Linked DNA regions of Anolis sagrei. The protein of the gene in region 1 purifies or fractionates together with the protein of each later gene. This does not show direct contact. Links are inferred from orthologs where the notes say so. Each region holds a gene or a part of one and is shown in the gene's direction. Other genes may lie near its edges.

The links.
Region 2: the proteins of EYA2 (region 1) and ACAD9 purify together in Homo sapiens (affinity purification with mass spectrometry; 3 studies listed by BioGRID and IntAct, with this or other methods). This does not show direct contact. The link is inferred for Anolis sagrei from reciprocal best matches to the Homo sapiens genes EYA2 and ACAD9.

The regions. Positions count from the first base shown.
Region 1 is NC_090024.1:219,244,804-219,253,914, forward strand, and holds the start of EYA2 (eyes absent homolog 2), read left to right. Parts: upstream 1-5,211; 5' UTR 5,212-5,259; coding exon 5,260-5,273; intron 5,274-9,111. UniProt on the Homo sapiens protein: Functions both as protein phosphatase and as transcriptional coactivator for SIX1, and probably also for SIX2, SIX4 and SIX5.
Region 2 is NC_090022.1:63,845,411-63,854,795, forward strand, and holds the start of ACAD9 (complex I assembly factor ACAD9, mitochondrial), read left to right. Parts: upstream 1-5,362; 5' UTR 5,363-5,414; coding exon 5,415-5,546; intron 5,547-9,385. UniProt on the Homo sapiens protein: As part of the MCIA complex, primarily participates in the assembly of the mitochondrial complex I and therefore plays a role in oxidative phosphorylation.

The DNA.
Region 1 (9,111 bases):
TAATCATTTCCTGCTTGGTTTAAAACAGGTAGGTAAAATGTCATTTTAAAGTGGAAGAGAGTGAAGGAAAGATAACGCTCAGCTAATTTAAATCCTGCTTTGGGCAGCAGGTTCAGTGGACCATGAGACTCCTTCCCTTGCTGTGATTTTATGACTCTATGAGAGAAAGTCCCATATCATTATCCTACCTTTAAGGAAAGTTTGCAAGTGGTGGTGTAGGGCCTTCTCTCTGATTGTATCTTTACTTTGTAATGTCATCTCCCACGAGAAATCCCATGTACCAAATTTATTGAGATTTTGGTGCAAGGCTAAAATGCATGGGTTTCCCTATTTAGAAGCGGTTAGTTGCTACTGCAAATAATCCGATTGCTGTTTGTTTGTTGACTTTATCAGATGTTTGTTTACTGTGTATAGTATTATTGTTATGATTCACTATAGCATTTCAGTTTTTTAAAGTATGCCACATTTTAAGGAAACATTACCAAGATAGTTCACAACCATGGTATTAAATTCATAATCATAAAGCCCTTAGTTTTAGGTAAAGACCTAAAATGGACCAAATAAATGTTGGAATTAAAAACCTGATTATTTTATTTTATGGAGTATCAAGCATAGCTTTTAGAACTGTGGTTCTCAACCTTCCTCATGCCATGACCCCTTAATACAATTCCTCATGTTGTGGTGACCCCCAACTATAAAATTATTTTTGTTGCTACTTCATAACTGTAATTTTTCTACTGTTATGAATCGTAATGTAAATATCAGATATGCAAGATGCATTTTCATTCCCTGGACCAAATCTAGCACAAACACTTGATTTGCCCAAATTTGAATACTGGTGATTTTGTCATTTGGAAGTTGTAGTTTCTGGGATTTATAATTAATCTACAATCAAAGAACATTTTGAAATCCACCAACAATTGGATTGAACTGAACCAAACTTGACACACAGAACTCCCATGACCAACAGAACATACTGGAAGGGTTTGGTGGGCACTGACCTTGAGTTTTGGAGTAGTTCACCTACATCTAGAGTGTACTGTGCACTCAGATGAGTCCATAGTGCTCTCTGGATGTAGGTGAACTATAACTCCAAAACTCAAGGTCAATGTGTCTGGATCAGACTTGGCATGAGTACTAGGCCACTCTCAGTCCCATGTCGCACGGGGTTTTTCCTCCCTGCCATGACGGGACTTGATGGCATGAACCTCACTCCAGCCTTTCATGCTCTACCTTGCCCGCACATGCACACCACGCTGCCATGCGCCGACCATGCCTGCTCTCCCCTCCCTGCTTGGAGTCTCAGAAACAGCCCTCCCCTTAGCTGAGAAGCCAGCTGAGTGGCTGGCTAATCACCACAGGAAGAGGGCTTTTGGTGGGAGGATTCACTGTCTGTTTCCAAAAAGGAAGAGAAGGACAGGCGAGAGACCTTCAGCCTTCTCTGCCAAAGGGGTTTCTAAGACCATCAGAAATATGTGTTTTCTGGTGGTCTTTGGCAACCCCTCTGACAGCCTCCTCACAACCCCCTTAGGGGTCCTGACCCCCAGGTTGAGAAACGCTGCTTTAGAAGAAAGAAGTGAAACTAATTTCTTCTGTAGCTTTAAAATTCCAGTCTTCTTTTTGGCAGGCTGTCTCCTTGTCTTGCCTTCTGTCTTGTTTCCTTGTCTGTTAAAATTCACACAACCTTTTCTTGGTGCTCCTTTGGAACAGACAATTTTACTCTGGAACATAAAACAGCAAAAAGTCATTCTATTAAAACAAAACTGACACTTCTTGTTTATTCCCTAATTTTACTGCTATGATTACAATTCCATGTTTTGAAAGATTATTTTTTTCTTATTCTCCCCCCCCCCCCTCCCTCTTTTTCCTTCTTATGATGTTGTGGGATTTGGCTTACTCAAGGCTTGAGAGAATTGGAATCTATCTGCTTTCCCTGAGGCCTGTGTGCACAGCATTAACAAAGGAGTTATCAAATCCAAAAATCTGATGGGGCTTTAAAAGTTTGGTCATGTCAGCAGTAGACAGTTAGTACTCAGGAGTATAAACAGTCTGTGGAACTGTGCCCGCAGAGTCACCTTGGGAAAAAAAATCATTTTGCAGCTTTTGAAAAATTGTCAGCTTTGCAAAATAAGCATTAACTCGAGTTACAGGTTGGTTTGGGAGCAATGCCAAGAAGAGGGGTGAAAGAAAAATCATCATAACTAAACAGCTTCTAGGGGTTGTATATCAGATCTAGGTGCATCTACAATATAGCATTAATGCAGTTTGATACCACTTTAACCACCATAGCTCAATGCTATGAAATCCAGGGATCTTTAGATTGGTGAGGTATCAGCTCACTGTTTACCAGAGAAGGTTATAGACATTATAAAACTACAATTCCCATTAGTCCCTAACATTGAGCCATGGTAGTTAAATAGTGTTAACCTCCATTAATTCTACAATGTAGATGTATCCCAAGTCACACTATGTCAGGGGTCCTCAAACTAAGGCCCGAGGGCCGGATGTGGCTCTCCAAGGTCATTTACCGGCCCTCGCTCAGGGTCAACCTAAGTCTGAAATGACTTGAAAGCACATAATAACAATACTATCTCATCAGCCAAAAGCAGGCCCACACTTCCCATTGAAATACTAATACATTATTATTTGTTAAAATTGTTCTTCATTTTAATTATTGTATTGTTTTTAAGTGTTTTTTGCATTACAAATAAAATATGTGCAGTGTGCATAGGAATTCATTCATTATTTTTTTTCAAATTATAATCCGGCCCTCAAACAGTTTGAGGGACTGTGACCTGGCCCTCTGTTTAAAAAGTTTGAGGACCCCTTCACTATGTGGTAAATGTGTTTTATCAATAAGATTTTGATTTCTCTTTCTTGAACCTGTATTTAGTTGGAAACTTAGGCCCCTTCCACACATTGAACTGGATTATATAGCAGTGTGGATTCGGATAATCTAGTTCAAAACAGATATTGTAGATTATCAGTCTTGATATTATGGGTTATATGGCTGTGTAGAAAAGCCCTACATCAAAAGTACACCCAGACTGAGGGCCCTTCCACACAGCCCTATATCCCAGAACATCAAGGCAGAAAATGTCACAATATCTGCATTGAACTGGGATATCTGAGTCCACACTCAGATAATGTGGAATTTTCTACTTTAATATTCTGGGATATAGGGCTGTATGGAAGGGTCCCGTTTTATCTGAGTCCACACTTAGATCATGTGGGATTTCATGCCTTGATGTTCTGGGATATAGGGCTGTGTGGAAGGGCCCTTGGGGATTTGCAATTGGAAAAGAGAACAGACAATACATGGGTTGGAGCTCAATGTGAATCAGCCATGATTATATAAAAGAGCCGAGAACCATACAAAGAAGTTAGATTAAGCTGAGCAAGAGTGATTGGCCTAAGTCTCCCAGGGCTCTTCTATGGCCCTTCCACACAACTATTTATTTATTTATTTCGGGCATTTATATCCTGTCCTTCTCACCTCTGAAGAGGGACTCGGGACAGCTTACAATAGGCAACCATCAGGTGCCAACACAGTACATTAGAAATCACAGACACAATTAAACACAATTTAAAAAACAATTATAAAACATTCAATTTAAAAACAGTTCACCGGTTCAAATCATAGTCCAGGTCAATCCATTGCAGTCACTAAAACATTTCCTTTCCTGTTATTCCATCTATTGTTCAAAGGCTTGACCCAGAATATCAAGGCCCCAAATCCCACAATATCTGCTTCTAATTGGGTTAACTGAGTCCACACTGCCATATATTCCAGTTCAAAGCGGATAATGTAGGTTTTTGTTAAGATGTGTGAAAGGCCCTACACTGTCATTATATCCTAGGATCTGATCCCAGGCTTTCTGCTTATCCCAGATTATCTGACAGTGGGGACTCATATAATCCAGTTTTAAGCAGAACACCTGGGATCAGATCCTGGAGTGTAGGGCTAGGGCCTGTCTGGAAAAGCCCTCAGATAGCTTAATGCCTGACTGTTAATTTGAAGCTGGGTCTCAGCAATTTCAGTTTAGCATTCTGAACCCTAAATCAGTCAAGTAATGCAAAAAACAAAACAAAAACAAAACAAAAAAACCCCTAAATAAGAGAAACCTCTGGCCACCTGAAACATCATTTCTGGTTATCACCTGGCATAAGAGGAGTGAAAATGATAATCAGCATATGCCTACCCTTTGTGTAGATCAGTATTTTCCAAACATTAGTTCTCTGGCAGTTTTGGACTTCAATTCCCAGAAGACCCAGTCAGCTTGGCCAACTGTCAGGAATTCTAGGAACTGAAGTCCAAAACATCTGGAAGACCAGAGTTGGGACACACTGCTGTAGATCAACAAAGAACAAGTTTGCACCATTATCTTAGTGACAACCTTTGAAATGTCAGAACATAACTATAACATAACCTGGCATTAATCTCTGTTCCACATAACCAACTCCTAAGGAAACACATTTTTCAGACCCTTTGTCATCCTTCAGTCAATTTTTGTCTTAACCTGAACTGGACGCAGTACCCAAACGTAGGCTTGATCAAAACAGAATTGAATTGTGACATTAATTCTTGTGGACATTATATTCCTGTTTGTGCAACTCAGAATTGAGTTTGCCATTTTAGCTGCCACATTGCATTGCTGACTCATGTTTAGCTTGCGGTTAAGCATTATTCATTCGTAAAGGAATCTCCCATTTGGTGGTGTTTTTGTTTTTGTGGAAGAGGAATTTAGTGAATTCAGGAGGAAAAAACCCATATTGAACTGGAACATTTTTGTAAAACAAAAACATGTTTCTTTTTATGCTGCTTTGCGGCCTGCTTAAAAGGGCATTCTCCAAATAATCTTGCTGGAGCATTTCTGGTAAATTGCTGCAATTGTTTAGAAGAAAGAAACAAATACATATACTGTGTGATTCTTGCCATTTTTGTGGAGGGAGGGATAAGAAGATTGGATGAGGTTTGTTGGCTAAGTGATTGCAAACAAACCGTGCCAAAAGGAGAAAAGTACGAACATTATTATGCCTCTGATTTCCTATTTCCTTAATACGTGTTGACATGCAAGATGATTAAGCAGACCTTTATTATAATCTCATGAATATTGCGAGGTTAAGTTCCTCTGAGTTCACTTGGGCTTTCTAAGGAAGTGCACATAGGACAGCCTGGGGGTATTTCCGCTTCTGCAGAAGTCTTGGATGATCTTTGACTCTCTAGATATCATGGAACAATGTCCATAATCCACTGCCATGAATCATACTAGGTAAGTCTGCTGGGATTGAAGTCCATGGCCTCTGAAGAGCCAGGAACTCACTAACCCTGATTTGCCTTTTTTGTTAAGCATAGTCCCTAGCATAGTAAGAGTCACAGCGGCATCAAAAACTGGTGAATTGCATGATTGGTCTATTGAGTGAAGCATGAAACATAGTATTTTGGAACTGAAGACTTAAGAGTTGGCATTTTGGCACACAAAGTTTGAGATATTTTTGCAAAGAAATGCAGTATATAAGCTATTGTATATGTAAGACTGTGAATATGAGGTTTTTAAAATGCTTAGCTTGGCTTCCTTTCCCTTCAAAATTTCTGTGGTAAAATAAATCTGTTCCTTATTTGAAATGCTATGGTCACCTTTCATCAGTGACAAAGAACGTTGCATAAACAGAAGGAATTGTTCCAAATTCATATATGGAATTTGGATTAGCTTGCATTTATTTTACAATCTAGATGTTAAAAGCACTGCCTGATATTGGCCTAATTAATGTGTGACCATAATCAATAGGCAGATTCATCTGTGTTTTCAGCTTTTGGAGTCAAAAAGCAATTAATGTATTCAAGAAGATTCTGGATAATCAGAAGCTTCAATGCATCGAAGAGTACTATCTCCTACTTATATTGTGTTTGTGGTATTGCTGTGTCCCTAGAAAAATCTCTCATTTATTGTACTGTTTTCATTGGAATTTATATTCCATTAAATTTATATTGATGTTATTTATCTCTTCTTTTGATTTGTCCTGTTGTTCATTATGGTATTGAATGTTTGCCACTTGTGTTCTGGAAACCGCCCTGAGTCCCCTTGAGAAGATAGAGCAGGTTACAAATAAAGTTGTTGCTGTTGTTGTTGTTGTTAATCATCATCAACATCATCATTTTGTTTTAACTTACGTTGTGAGCAACCTTGAATTGCTTGTCAGGGAAGAGTGGATTACAAACAAAATAAAATAAATTGCTATCTTTGGATAGGCTTTTGAAACATAACCCTGCAACTTGCTTTAGCAGAGGGGAAAATGTGACAGATCTACACATTACGAAGAGATGTCTTTTTCAAACTACCCTCAGGTTCTGAAAAAGAAAACCTTCCCAGCCTAAATTGCGGAGCTCCCCCTTCCAGTAGGCAAAGAGATGATCACTTAAGATAGCAAAGACAGCACCAAAAGAGAGAGCTGAGCACTAAGCAGCTTGCCTTGTGACCTCCTAAATGTGCCAGGTTTGGTGGAGGAGGTCATTCCATCTCAGTAGAAAATTCTTCATTCATGTTCTTCTTGACAAAAACAACGGGTAATCTTGGTAATTTTTCCTCCTATGAGAAGGTCTTTGAAAACCATGCAGTTTTTGACATTTACTCAAGATTCAAAACTTCTGTGAAAAAACTTGTGTGTGGCTGTTTTGCCCATAAATATATAATGAATAATATTTTCTGCACAGAAAATGTTTTACAGTATGTACAAATCAACTATGTGTGAATTTTATGTAGAATGAGTCCCCAATTGTAAAGATTCTCATTAGTCCAGGATTCTTCTCATTAAGGTTTTTCATCACTCAAAAACATGTTTTTGACAATTTTTCAGTGGGCTTTTCCAGTTTGGATAGGCACAATCTTGTCCTTCATCTCACACAGTAAAATGTCATCAGCCAGCTGTGCTAAATTTAATAACATTAATGTGGCATAAAGTAGGGAAGGAAATGGGCCATTACACATTTAACTGAAGGTGGAGTTTGCAGTTATTAAATATTATACCTTTAAAAAATATTTGTATAAATGTTACCTAATTCAGCTTGTCTTCCGCTATAGCAGAACCCATTGGCATGCAATTATCTAGTATAGCAAACATCCTAAAATATCTCTTCAGCTGTTGTGGAGTGATTTGTGTGCTGTAATGTGGGGACGTATTTCTACCCTTGAGCACTGTGGGTTTTTTTAAAGATCAGGGTGGGCAACGCCATCCAGTCTAAGGGGCAAGTTTTCATTTCCAGGACCTGTTAAAAGGTAGATGAGAGCTGAAAACAACACATCTAGTTTCATTTCATGATTTCATTCCCACCCTCTCTCTCAACCTCTTTCTTCTCCACTTTCCTCTCCACATTAGAATAGGAATCGTAATAACCTGCAGGCCATGTGCATTCATTAGTGGAGAAGGGCCCTATGTGGAAATCAAGGGACACTGCGTAAGCAGATTGTTTTATATTCGGCTGATAGGGGATCCATCTCTTTGTGGCCTTGGTCTCTTTGGATACATCAAGATTCCGCTTGTTGAGAAAGAGTTGATTTCTACAGAGTTAGTCTTGTCCTATTTTCATCCTCAGCCCAATTCCAAAATGACAGGAATTAATTTCCAATTGGCAGAAATGTCACTTCCAGTTGTCACCAACCCTTCGGATACAGAGAAGGACAAAACAGATGTATGGATGAATGGATCTTGGATTACTGAATCAGAACAAAATTTCATCTATACATGTTTATATATGTTAGCATGGTTTCTTTTGAGGTTCTAGAATAGCCAGAAGACATGAATGTCTCAGTGCTTGTCCAATCGCATGTTGAGTAGAGATATTTCGAAGACATAGGGCTGACTAACATAGGGAAAACATAGATTCTGTAAATATTTTCTCCTGAGGCACCATTTGGTTGTTTTATTTATGGTATCAGAAGTGAACCCAATGTATAGTTGTAATGTATTTTTAAAAACACAGTTTAAAAACTTGGCATTATACTCAATGTCCTTTGACCAGTAGCTGGCCACTTGGAGTGCCCCCGGTGTTGCTATAAGAAGGTCCTCCATTGTGCATGTGGCAGGGCTCAGACTGTATTGTAATAGGTAGTTTGTGGTTTGATCTTCTCTGTACTCACATGTTGTGAACTCCACTTTGTAGCCCCATTTTTTAAGGTTGGCTCTGCATTTCATGGTCCTAGAGTGCAATCTGTTTAGCACCTTCCAAGTCACCAGGTCTTCTGTGTACCCAGGGGAGAGTCTCTCATTCGGAATTAGCCATGGCATGGGTTTTAGCCTGCCACTTTTGGACTCTTGCTTTCTGAGGTGTTCCTGTGAGTATCTCTGTAGATCTTAGAAAACTATTTCTTGATTAAAGGTGTTGGCATGCTGGCTGATATCTGAACAGGGGATGGGCCAGAAATGTCGCTGCCTTGGTCCTTTCATTATTAACTGCTACTTCCTGGCGAATGTCAGGTGGTGCAATACTGGCTACACAGTATAATTTCTCCAATGGTGTAGGGTGTAGATATCCTGTGATAATGCGGCATGTTTCATTAAGAGCCGCATCTACTGTTTTAGTGTAGTGAGATGTATTCCACATTGGACACACTGGCCATTTGGTCACTTTGAATGTCTTCTGCAAGGACAGTATTTTCAAACAGTCTCTATGAAAGTAAAACTGATTAATGAATTGATAGGTTTGCTACATTTTTTTCTCATAGAGATCATTTGTCAACAATTGCTGCAGAACAGGTTGAAATTCTGCAAATGAAGCAGTCTCCAGGCATAGTGACAAGAGTATATGTGTTGATTTTTGGCTGTTCTCCTGGAACAGTTAAATTCATAAGACCCCACTGCATGCATGCATGCGGTTTTATGTCTTGGAAGCTTTTCCCATAATTTGAATTATGATGCTATGCTGCTTATAATAGCCCTAGCTGTGGTAATAAAAACATTAAAAACAGTTGTACTCTTTGTCAACAGGATCAGAAATACAATATATGAAAGAATAGGTGTGCATTCAGAGAATTTATTATATAACAAATTAAAGCTCTTGTTATATATTGCAACATGACCATTAATGATGAAATAACAGGATGTTTTATTAGTTCT
Region 2 (9,385 bases), on another chromosome or scaffold:
AGGAAGGATGCTTCCGCTTCCGGTCCTAGCTCTTTCCCCCCTTTCTTCCCTCCTCCTCTTCCTCATCTTGCCTTTTTTTCACTTATTGGGAATGGAGAGAGAGTGAATTGAAGAGGAAATTGAATTGAAGAGGAATTCCTTGAATTGAAGAGGAAATGCTGGATAAAAAGGGGGCATCAGATAAAAGCATCTGATAAGATGGAATGTCGGATAAGCAAAGGTCGGATATGCAAGACTCTACTGTAATAACAAACAGATAATTGACAGATAATGGAATGATTAAAACTTGTGCGCCAGCTGCACCCGTACCTTGAGAAGTCAAACTTGGCCACGGTGGTCCATGCTCTCGTTACATCTAGGATAGACTACTGCAATGCACTCTACGTGGGGTTGCCTTTGAAGACTGCTCGGACGCTTCAAATAGTCCAACGAGAGGCAGCCAGGTTAATAACTGGGGCGGCATACAGGAAGCATGCAACTCCCATGTTACGCCAGCTCCACTGGCTGCCAGTTTGCTACCAGGCACAATTCAAAGTGCTGGCTTTGGCCTATAAAGCCCTAAACGGCCCTGGCCCAAATTACTTGTCCAAACACATCTCTCCCTGTGAACCATCGCGGAGATTAAGATCCTCCGGGGAGGCCCTGCTTTCCGTCCCACTCTTGTCACAGGCATAATTGGTGCGGACAAAAGATAGGGCCTTCTTGGTGATTGCTCCCAGGCTATGGAACTCCCTTCCTGGTGAGATCAGGTTGGCCCTCTCTCTCCTGTCCTTTAGAAGGATGGTAAAAACTTGGCTGTGGGACCAAGCTTTTGGGACAGGGCAATAAAGCAGCAATAGTTTCCTAAATTAACAGGCCAGTTAGATTTGACGTGGATGACTAGGACAGTTTTAAATGGTGTATTTTAATATTTTGATAAATGTTTTAATGTTTATGTATGCGTATATGAATTCGTGTCCCAGAATTGAATGTTTGCCATATATATGCTGTGCTCCTCCTGAGTCCCCTTTGGGGCGAGAAGGGCAGAATATAAATGTTTTAAATAAATAAATATTTTAATAATGGTGTGCTATCATTCCTAGATGTTCCCATGACCAATCTGGTTGCTATGTTTTGAGCTAGCTGGAGTTTCCAAACTTGGTACAGAGGGAGCCCAATGTGCAGTACAAATGCAGAAGATTTGAGCCTTGCGGCTACCAGCACATGCACTACCATCTTTAGGTCCTCCAGTTCTAGGAAAGGACACAGCTGGCGTATCAGCTGAAGCTAGTAGTCAGCACTTCTGAGTGTCATATTCATCTGGACTGATATTTGGCGAGACAGATCTGGCAAAACTCCCAACTGTGAATAGTCTTTCAGCGGGAATGTAACCCCATCCAGAATTGGTTGACACACCTCCAAACCCAGGTTAGAAGCCCTGATCATAATCACTTCCATTTTTATCTGGATTCAGTTTCAGTTTGTTTTTCTTCATTCAGATGAGACATGCTATCCTAAGCCTAGGCTGTTTTTTAAGGCCTGGAGAAATATATTTGGGACTCATCAGCATACTGAAAGCATCCTACCCCATATATCCGGATCATCTCTCCCAGCAGTTTCACGAAAATGTTAAAAAGCATTGGAGATAGAATGACACATTGTGGGGATCATAAAATTTTAATAGAGTTGGAAGAGACCACATGGGCCATTTAGTCCAACCCCCTGCCATGCAGAAAAAGCACAATGAAAATATCCCTGACAGATGGCCATCCAGCCTCTGCTTAAAAGCCTCCAAGGAAGGAGCTTCCACCACATTCCAAGGCAGAGAATTCCACTGCTGAACAATCCGGAAGGTCTTCCTAGTTTCCAGGGAAGCAGAAAACAAGCCTGCTCCCTCATCCTTATGACATCCTTTCACATATTTATATATAGTTATAATGTCTCCTCTCAACCTTCAGTTCTTTAAGAGAGGGTTGAGAGGAGACATTATATTAAAGAACCTTCAGTTCTTTAAGACACTCCTCATAGAGCCCCCTCTGGACACCTTCCAGCTTGTCAATACCTCCTTTGAATTGTGGAGCCCAGAATTGGACAGAGTATTCCAGCTGAGGTTTGACCAAAGCAGGATAGAGGGGCACCATAACTTCCCTCGATCTAGTCACTATACTCTTTTTGATGGAGCCCAAAATCCCATTGGCTTTTTAGATGCTGCATCACACTGTTGGCTCATGTTCAACTTCTTGTCCATGTAGACTCCAAAATCTTTTTCACATGGACTGCTGTCAAGCCAGGCATCATATAATAACTCTTTTTTTGAGGAGCAGCTATTGTTTTTGTTTTGAGGATGTGCAGTATTTTTCCAGCTCAAGAAAATACTGCTACAGAGAAAATTATTCATGCAATTAACCATAGTTGGAAGCCTACCCATATTCCCTCAGCCATCATTCAATTTGATTTTGTGTTGTTTTGAGAAATCTCCAAAGCTTTTTTAACAATCCAGTATCATGTAGAGCCTAGATTGGAAATGTTACTTTTCAGACCACAAGTCCCAGAATGGTGGCTGAGCACTGGACCAGATGAAGAAAGGCAACTCGACAAAAGGCAGAAAAGGCTATATATTTTTTAAATCCTTTCCTGAGAAGTTTCTTCCTTCAGGAAAGAGAAAATAAGCTTTCAATTATATTTGGATTCTGATGACAATTTATTATAGACTTGCTGTCCACATATAAAATTTATTACAAGATTCTGAACTCAAGCTGCATAATTATCAGCACATCAGATTCTTGCAGCAAAATATAATTAGTGTAACCTACCTTTGGCTTATTCTTAATTTATCTTCACATTCTTCATTCTGCTTTTTTATCTGCAGCATGGTAATTCCATGGTCATATATTTTTAAAGCTTTGAGTCTATTTAAAGTAAAAATAGGGAAGCGGCTTCATAAAGCAGAAGAAAAAAATCTCTTCACGTGAAAAGGTGGGGGAGAGAAGTGTGTGAGGCATTTAAAGATTTGATAGGCACCATTTGAATAAAGTCCTAAAGTGCAAAAATGAGTAAGAGTGATGCTTGTCCATCCCTTATCTGCAGCCATTATCATAAAAAGCAAGTGTGATGAGGTTTGATGCTGTGCACAACAAAGATGTAAGAGATGGCTGACAGACGCAGATTGGATTGTAGGTGATGGATTTCAGGTTGATGGCTATGTATTCTTGAAAGTAAAAGGGGTTATGAGATGTGAGGAAAATGTACATGAAAGGAAATATTTGTTGGGCCATGAATGGATTGTGATTCAAAAATTTAAAGTGCACTTTTTTCGAAGAGAAGAACCAAAGTCAGCCCACTAGCATTTGAGGCAGTCTATATCACAATTTGAGGCAGTCTATCCAGTGGGGCAGCGGGGTGAAACTAAGCTGCAGAACTGGCTGATTGGAAGGACAGCAGTTCAAATCCACAGACAGAGTGAGCCCCAGCTTCCACCAACCTTGCAGTTTGAAAACATGCAAATGTGAATAGATCAATAGGTACCACTTCAGTGGGAAGGTAATGGCGCTCCATGTTGTCATGCCATCCACATGACCAGGAGGTGTCTACGGACAATGCCGGCTCTTCGGCTTAGAAATGGAGATGACCACCTCCACCTCCACCACGCCAAGTAGTGACTTAATGTCAAGGGATACCTTTACCCTTACCTTTATACTACTCCTAAACAGTTATTATGTTAAATAGATGTATAGATGGAATTTCTTTTCTTCTAATTTGAATCCATTGGTGGTTCTATTCTCTAGAGCAGGCATGGGCAAACTTTGGCCCTCCAGGTGTTTTGGACTTCAACTCCCACAATTCCTAACAGCCAATAGGCTGGGTTGTTGTAGGTTTTTTTCGAGCTATATGGCCATGTTCTAGAGGCATTCTCTCCTGATGTTTCGCCTGCATCTATAGCAAGCATCCTCCGAGGTTGTGAGGTCTGTTAAGATTTATGGAGCTGCAGTCCCAGAGGGCCGAAGTCTGCCCATGCCTTCTCTGGAGCAATAAAACAGAAGCTCGCTTAACCTGCTTGACATTTCTTCAAATATTTAAAGACATTCTCTTCTCGAAGCTCTCCGTACTCTCTAAGTCTTTCCTCATACAGCTTTGCTTATCCCTTGCCTTTTCTTGCCCTTCACCGGACATGTACTACGTGGTCCATATCCTTCAACTATGATGTCCCATCCAGACATCTCACTACAGCAATACTGTTCTTTCCTCAAAGTAGTTGTGATAGATCATTCTTAGTTCTGATATGACATTACACACCACCAGTCTAAAGGGGATCGCACTCTCTGTTTCTCTCTCTGTGCCATATTCCATTGGGCATCTCCTTATTGACAGGCCTTCCAGCAAGGACCATCCAATGACAGCAGGCCTCCATTGATCCCTTGCACCCTTTATGACCAAACAGGCTTATTGGGTGTTTAGGTTCAAGTGGCTAAAGAGTTGGGTGCAGGTTTATTGTGTATGAGTTGGTGGGCAGAAGCAAACTTGCCCATTTTCTCAGTATCGTAATCACACCAGATTATAAAAGCACTACACTGGAGCACCTACATATACATTACACTAGGTGTGAGCCAACTTTGGCCCTCCAGGTGTTTTGAGCTCTAACTCTCAAAATTCCTAAAAACAGTTGTTAGAAATTGTGCGACTTGGAGTCCAAAACACTTGGAGGGCTGAAGTTGACGCATGTCTGGTCTACACTGTAGAATTAATGCAGTTTGACCCACTTGTGCCCACTTGTGCTGATTCAAATCTGGGGAGAGCAGGTTGAGCTCCCTCTGTCAGCTCCAGCTTCCCATGCGGGGATATGAGAGAAGCCTCCCACAAGGATGATAAAAACATCAAAACACCCAGGCGTCCTCTGGGCAACATCCTTGCAGACAGCCAATCCTCTCACACCAGGAGCGACTTGCAGTTTCTCAAGTCGCTCCTGACACACACAAACGAAACCCACTTGAGCTAGACTAAAATCCTGAATCCTAAAATTTTATTCTTTCTATGTAACTCATTAAAAATAAAGGTTGAGTTAAAAATCAACCTGGAATATGAAGGTAGCATGTGCTTGCTACACAATTATGACTCTATGGACGGCGTGACGTCACACTATTAGATCGCAGCGTCTAAATTTCCATGGCAACCTCCAACGGAATGCTGGAATTTGCAGTCCAAGGTGCTCCACTCAGGACACTCATTTAGACAGCTCTTGAGCCTCACTGCACTACAAGCCCCAGAATGCAACGGGGTGCAGTTAAAGTGGTAGGCCCGGCCCTGGCAGAGCAGAGTGATACCGAAGGTATGAAAGACGCTTGAGGGGCGGGGTTATCCTGCCGCCTGAGGAGTAGAGCAGGCACAACGTCATCACTGGGCGCCTCTTGCGGCCCTTCCTCCTTGAGGGCGAGCGAGCCATGAGTGGCCGGGGCTTGCTTCTCCTCCTCCGCTCGGCGCGGGCCGCCTTCCCCGGCAGGAGCAGGCCCTTCGGCACTTGCTGCCCGCGGCCTGCCTTCGCCAAGGAGCTTTTCCTGGGGAACTTCCGCAAGGTCAGCGCCTCCCTCGCCCGCCTCTCCGCCTTCCCGGGGCGCTCTCTCTTTCGGGGGCGCCTCGACACTGCGGGATGGAGGCAGCTTGGCCCCGCTTGAACTGCCGGTGGACTCCTGAGAGCCGAGAGCCTTCTCTGCCTCGTAGCCCTGGTGCCTCACCAAACTACAACTCCCAGGAGCCCATAGCTTTGAGCCAGGGCAGTTTAAATCACGCCAAACTGCATCCATTCTGCACTGCACATGCCTCCTTAATCATGGAGGAGACGTAGTTTTAAAAGGGAATTTTCAGAGATGTTCCCAATGCCCATTTGTCCCGATTTACTGCCAGATTGGCCTGTTTCTGCAGTGGGGCTATGTTTACAGAAAATGCTGCAGAGTTACTTTTCAAGGATGATTATGATGATAATAATAATAATAAACTTTATTTATACTCCACCACCTTCTCCCCAAGGGGACTCAGGGTGGCTAACGTGAGGCAAAGCCCAAAGAGTACAATAACGCAAAGTAAAATACATACAGTGTTGCATGCAGTCATGCTGGCCACATGGCCTTGGAGGTGTCTACTGACAACGCCGGCTCATAGAAATGGAGATGAGCACCAACCCCCAGAGTCGGACATGACTGGACTTAATGTCAGGGGAAAATCTTTACCTTTACCTTTTAAAATACATACAGAGATATTAACATCAAGTAAAATGCAAACTTTATTTATACGCCACCACCTTCTCCCCAAGGGGACTTGGGGCGGCTAACATGAAGCCAAGCCCAAAGAGTACAATAACACAAAGTAAAATACATACAGTGCTGCATGCTGTCATGCTGGCCACATGACCTTGGAGGTGTCTACAGACAACGCTGGCTCTTAGAAATGGAGATAAGCACCAACCCCCAGAGTCGGACATGACTGGACTTAATATCAGGGGGAAACCTTTACCTTTTAAAATACATACAGAGATAATAACATCAAATAAAATACAAACAATTGCAAAATAATACAGTAAGGTAAACACAGGGTGTGAGATAAAATAATTAAAAAGTTGAACACAGGATGTGAGATAAAATAATTAAGAAGTTGATAACAGTGCATCTGGACAAAACCGGCTTACTAGTGGATAGTTAGAACCCCCAAATTTCTCAGTCGCTCCAGAATTATGTTTGCAGCAGACTAACAGATAAGATTGATTTATTAAGACAGTCATGGTCAGAGAACAATGGACTATAGTTCTGCTATAGTTGTGTCATTGTTGGGGTCCCGCTGTGCTATTAAGTCAATCAAAATCATTAACAACCAATGAGCAACTGTATAGCTAGCTTAGACCAATGAAATGATTTTTCTTTGGAAATAAGACAAGAATGTGCATTCATTTTACTGCCAGAAATGGTAAAAGCTCTGCAGCCCTATTTGGGGATGCAACACACCCTTTGATTGCATTCCTGTACGCATGTTTTGTCGTTATTACTATGTCCACGCAATAAATAAGGGTTTTTTGCAGTTCGAAGATTCAACTTTTGTGGTGTCCTTCCTCGCCCTCCCCATTGGAAAGGGGGCTTCTGCTTGTTGAGAAATATTTTGGTTTCTTTGCCCCTACAATCAGAACTGATCAAGAACCAAATTGGTTGAAATATCTTCGTGGCATGGCGTTGAGTGTGTGTGTATTTTAGTTTTAATTCAGCACCCAAAAATACATTTCTAAAAGTTACAAAACTTTTTTTATAATATAAAATTGCTTTTTATAATATAATATAATAATAACAATCTTCCTTTATGCCCCACCCTATCTCCCCTTGGGGACTCAGGGCGGTTTACAGCAGATATCAGCAAACATTAAATGCCAAAAACAAAAATAGCCAACCCTCCAAATCCCAAAAACAAAACCACATCTACATCAAAAATAATAACAGATTATACTGCGGAATTATTAGTAATATTATATGTAACATACAATATGCAATTATAATATTATATATTATTTTGTACAATATTATTATACCACAGTATATAAATAATACACTACCAGTACATTATATCATCAGGTGTAGTTTATACAATATACAAAGGGCCCCCTGGTGGCGCAGCTTGTTAAACCACCAAGCTGCTGAACTTGCTGACTGAAAGGTTGGCGGTTTGAATCCAGAGAGCAGGGTGAGCTCCTCCTCTTGTCCCCAGCTTCTGCCAACCTAGCAGTTCGAAAACATGCAAATGTGAGTAGATCAATAGGTACCACTTCGGCGGGAAGGTAACGGCACTCCATGCAGTCATGCTGGCCACATGACCCAGGAGGCATCTATGGACAATGCTGGCTCTTCAGCTTAGGAATGGAGATGAGCACCACTCCTCAGAGTCGGACACGACTAGATTTAATGTCAAGGGGAAAACTTTTACCTTTACCTTATACAATATATCATATTGCAACATTGTTAACATTACATACAATACATCAGCATTATTACATTACAATGTTATTATTTCCATATAGTATTGTATTGTATATATTGAGGAGAGCAGGCAGCATGCTGGGTTGCCGCCATGCTTTGTCCCCTGACATCTCTTGGCCTCCTGTGGGGAGGGGAGGAGAGGGGAGAGGACCACCCGAGGGTTAGCTGCTCTGCCTGCACACTCCCGGCTTTTCTCTCCTCTATAATTGTAAATACAGATTTAACCAATTACACGGCCCACAAAAAAAAAAATTTGCACAGCCCTACTGCGGAATCATGAGATGATCCAGGTGTATGGCAAGGGTTAAGGACACTCCTAGGTGTCTTTTCTCCTGTAGCAAAGCTATTTTGGTTCCTGATAAAGGAAAAAAACCTGGGTTGGGAAGTGACTAGACCACAAGTAGGTAATGTCTTATGACAAATCTGACCGAACACAAGCAAGATTTGTTTCCCCCAAAGGACCATTGACAGTGTCTCATATCTCCACTCAGTAGCACTGTATGGATATAGAGGTCTGTGACCATATGGCCATTGTTCATAATCCATAAGTAAAATGGCATTGTCTTAAATAGATAAACATTTTTGGTTGCTTTCTTGATACCAAAGCTCAGCTCATGCATGTTACTGGATGAGATTATCTAAGTAATATGATAAGGGCACTTGTTGGGACAAGTTGCTTCAGAAGCCTGAGCTGGAGATCAGTGTACCCGTATTTAACGTGCCATTGAATCTAATGTGCACCTCAATTTTCAAAACCCTGGGGGGAAAAACTTTGGGGTGCATCTATGCTGTAGAATGAATCCACTTTAGTAGGAGCTCCAGACGCTTCTGAAGTAATTTTCACTTTTGCTTTGGCTCAGCATGAAGAATACCATATTACACCAATCTAATACACACTCTAATTTTGGGAAGGTAATTTAGCCAAAAAAAGGTGAACATTAGATTCAAGTAAATATGATTATTTCCCTTTCGAAATAGTAATTGATATATTGGATATTGGATATATTGGATATTGGATATATTGGAAACTAAATGGACCAGTACAACCAGAGATATGTCGGTATGCCATTGGAAGATGGGACTCCCAGGTCGGAAGATGGCCAAAATGCTACTGGGGAGGAGCAGAGGATAAGTTCAACTAGCCCCAGATGTGATGACGCAGCTAGCTCAAAGCCGAAAGGAAGGCTAGCGGCCGACGGTACTGGAGGCGAACGACGAATCCGATGCTCTAAAGATCAACACACCATAGGAACCTGGAATGTAAGATCTATGAGCCAGGGCAAATTGGATGTTGTTATTGGTGAGATGTCAAGACTAAAGATAGACATTCTGGGGGTCAGCGAACTGAAATGGACTGGAATGGGCCACTTCACATCAGATGACCACCAGATCTACTACTGCGG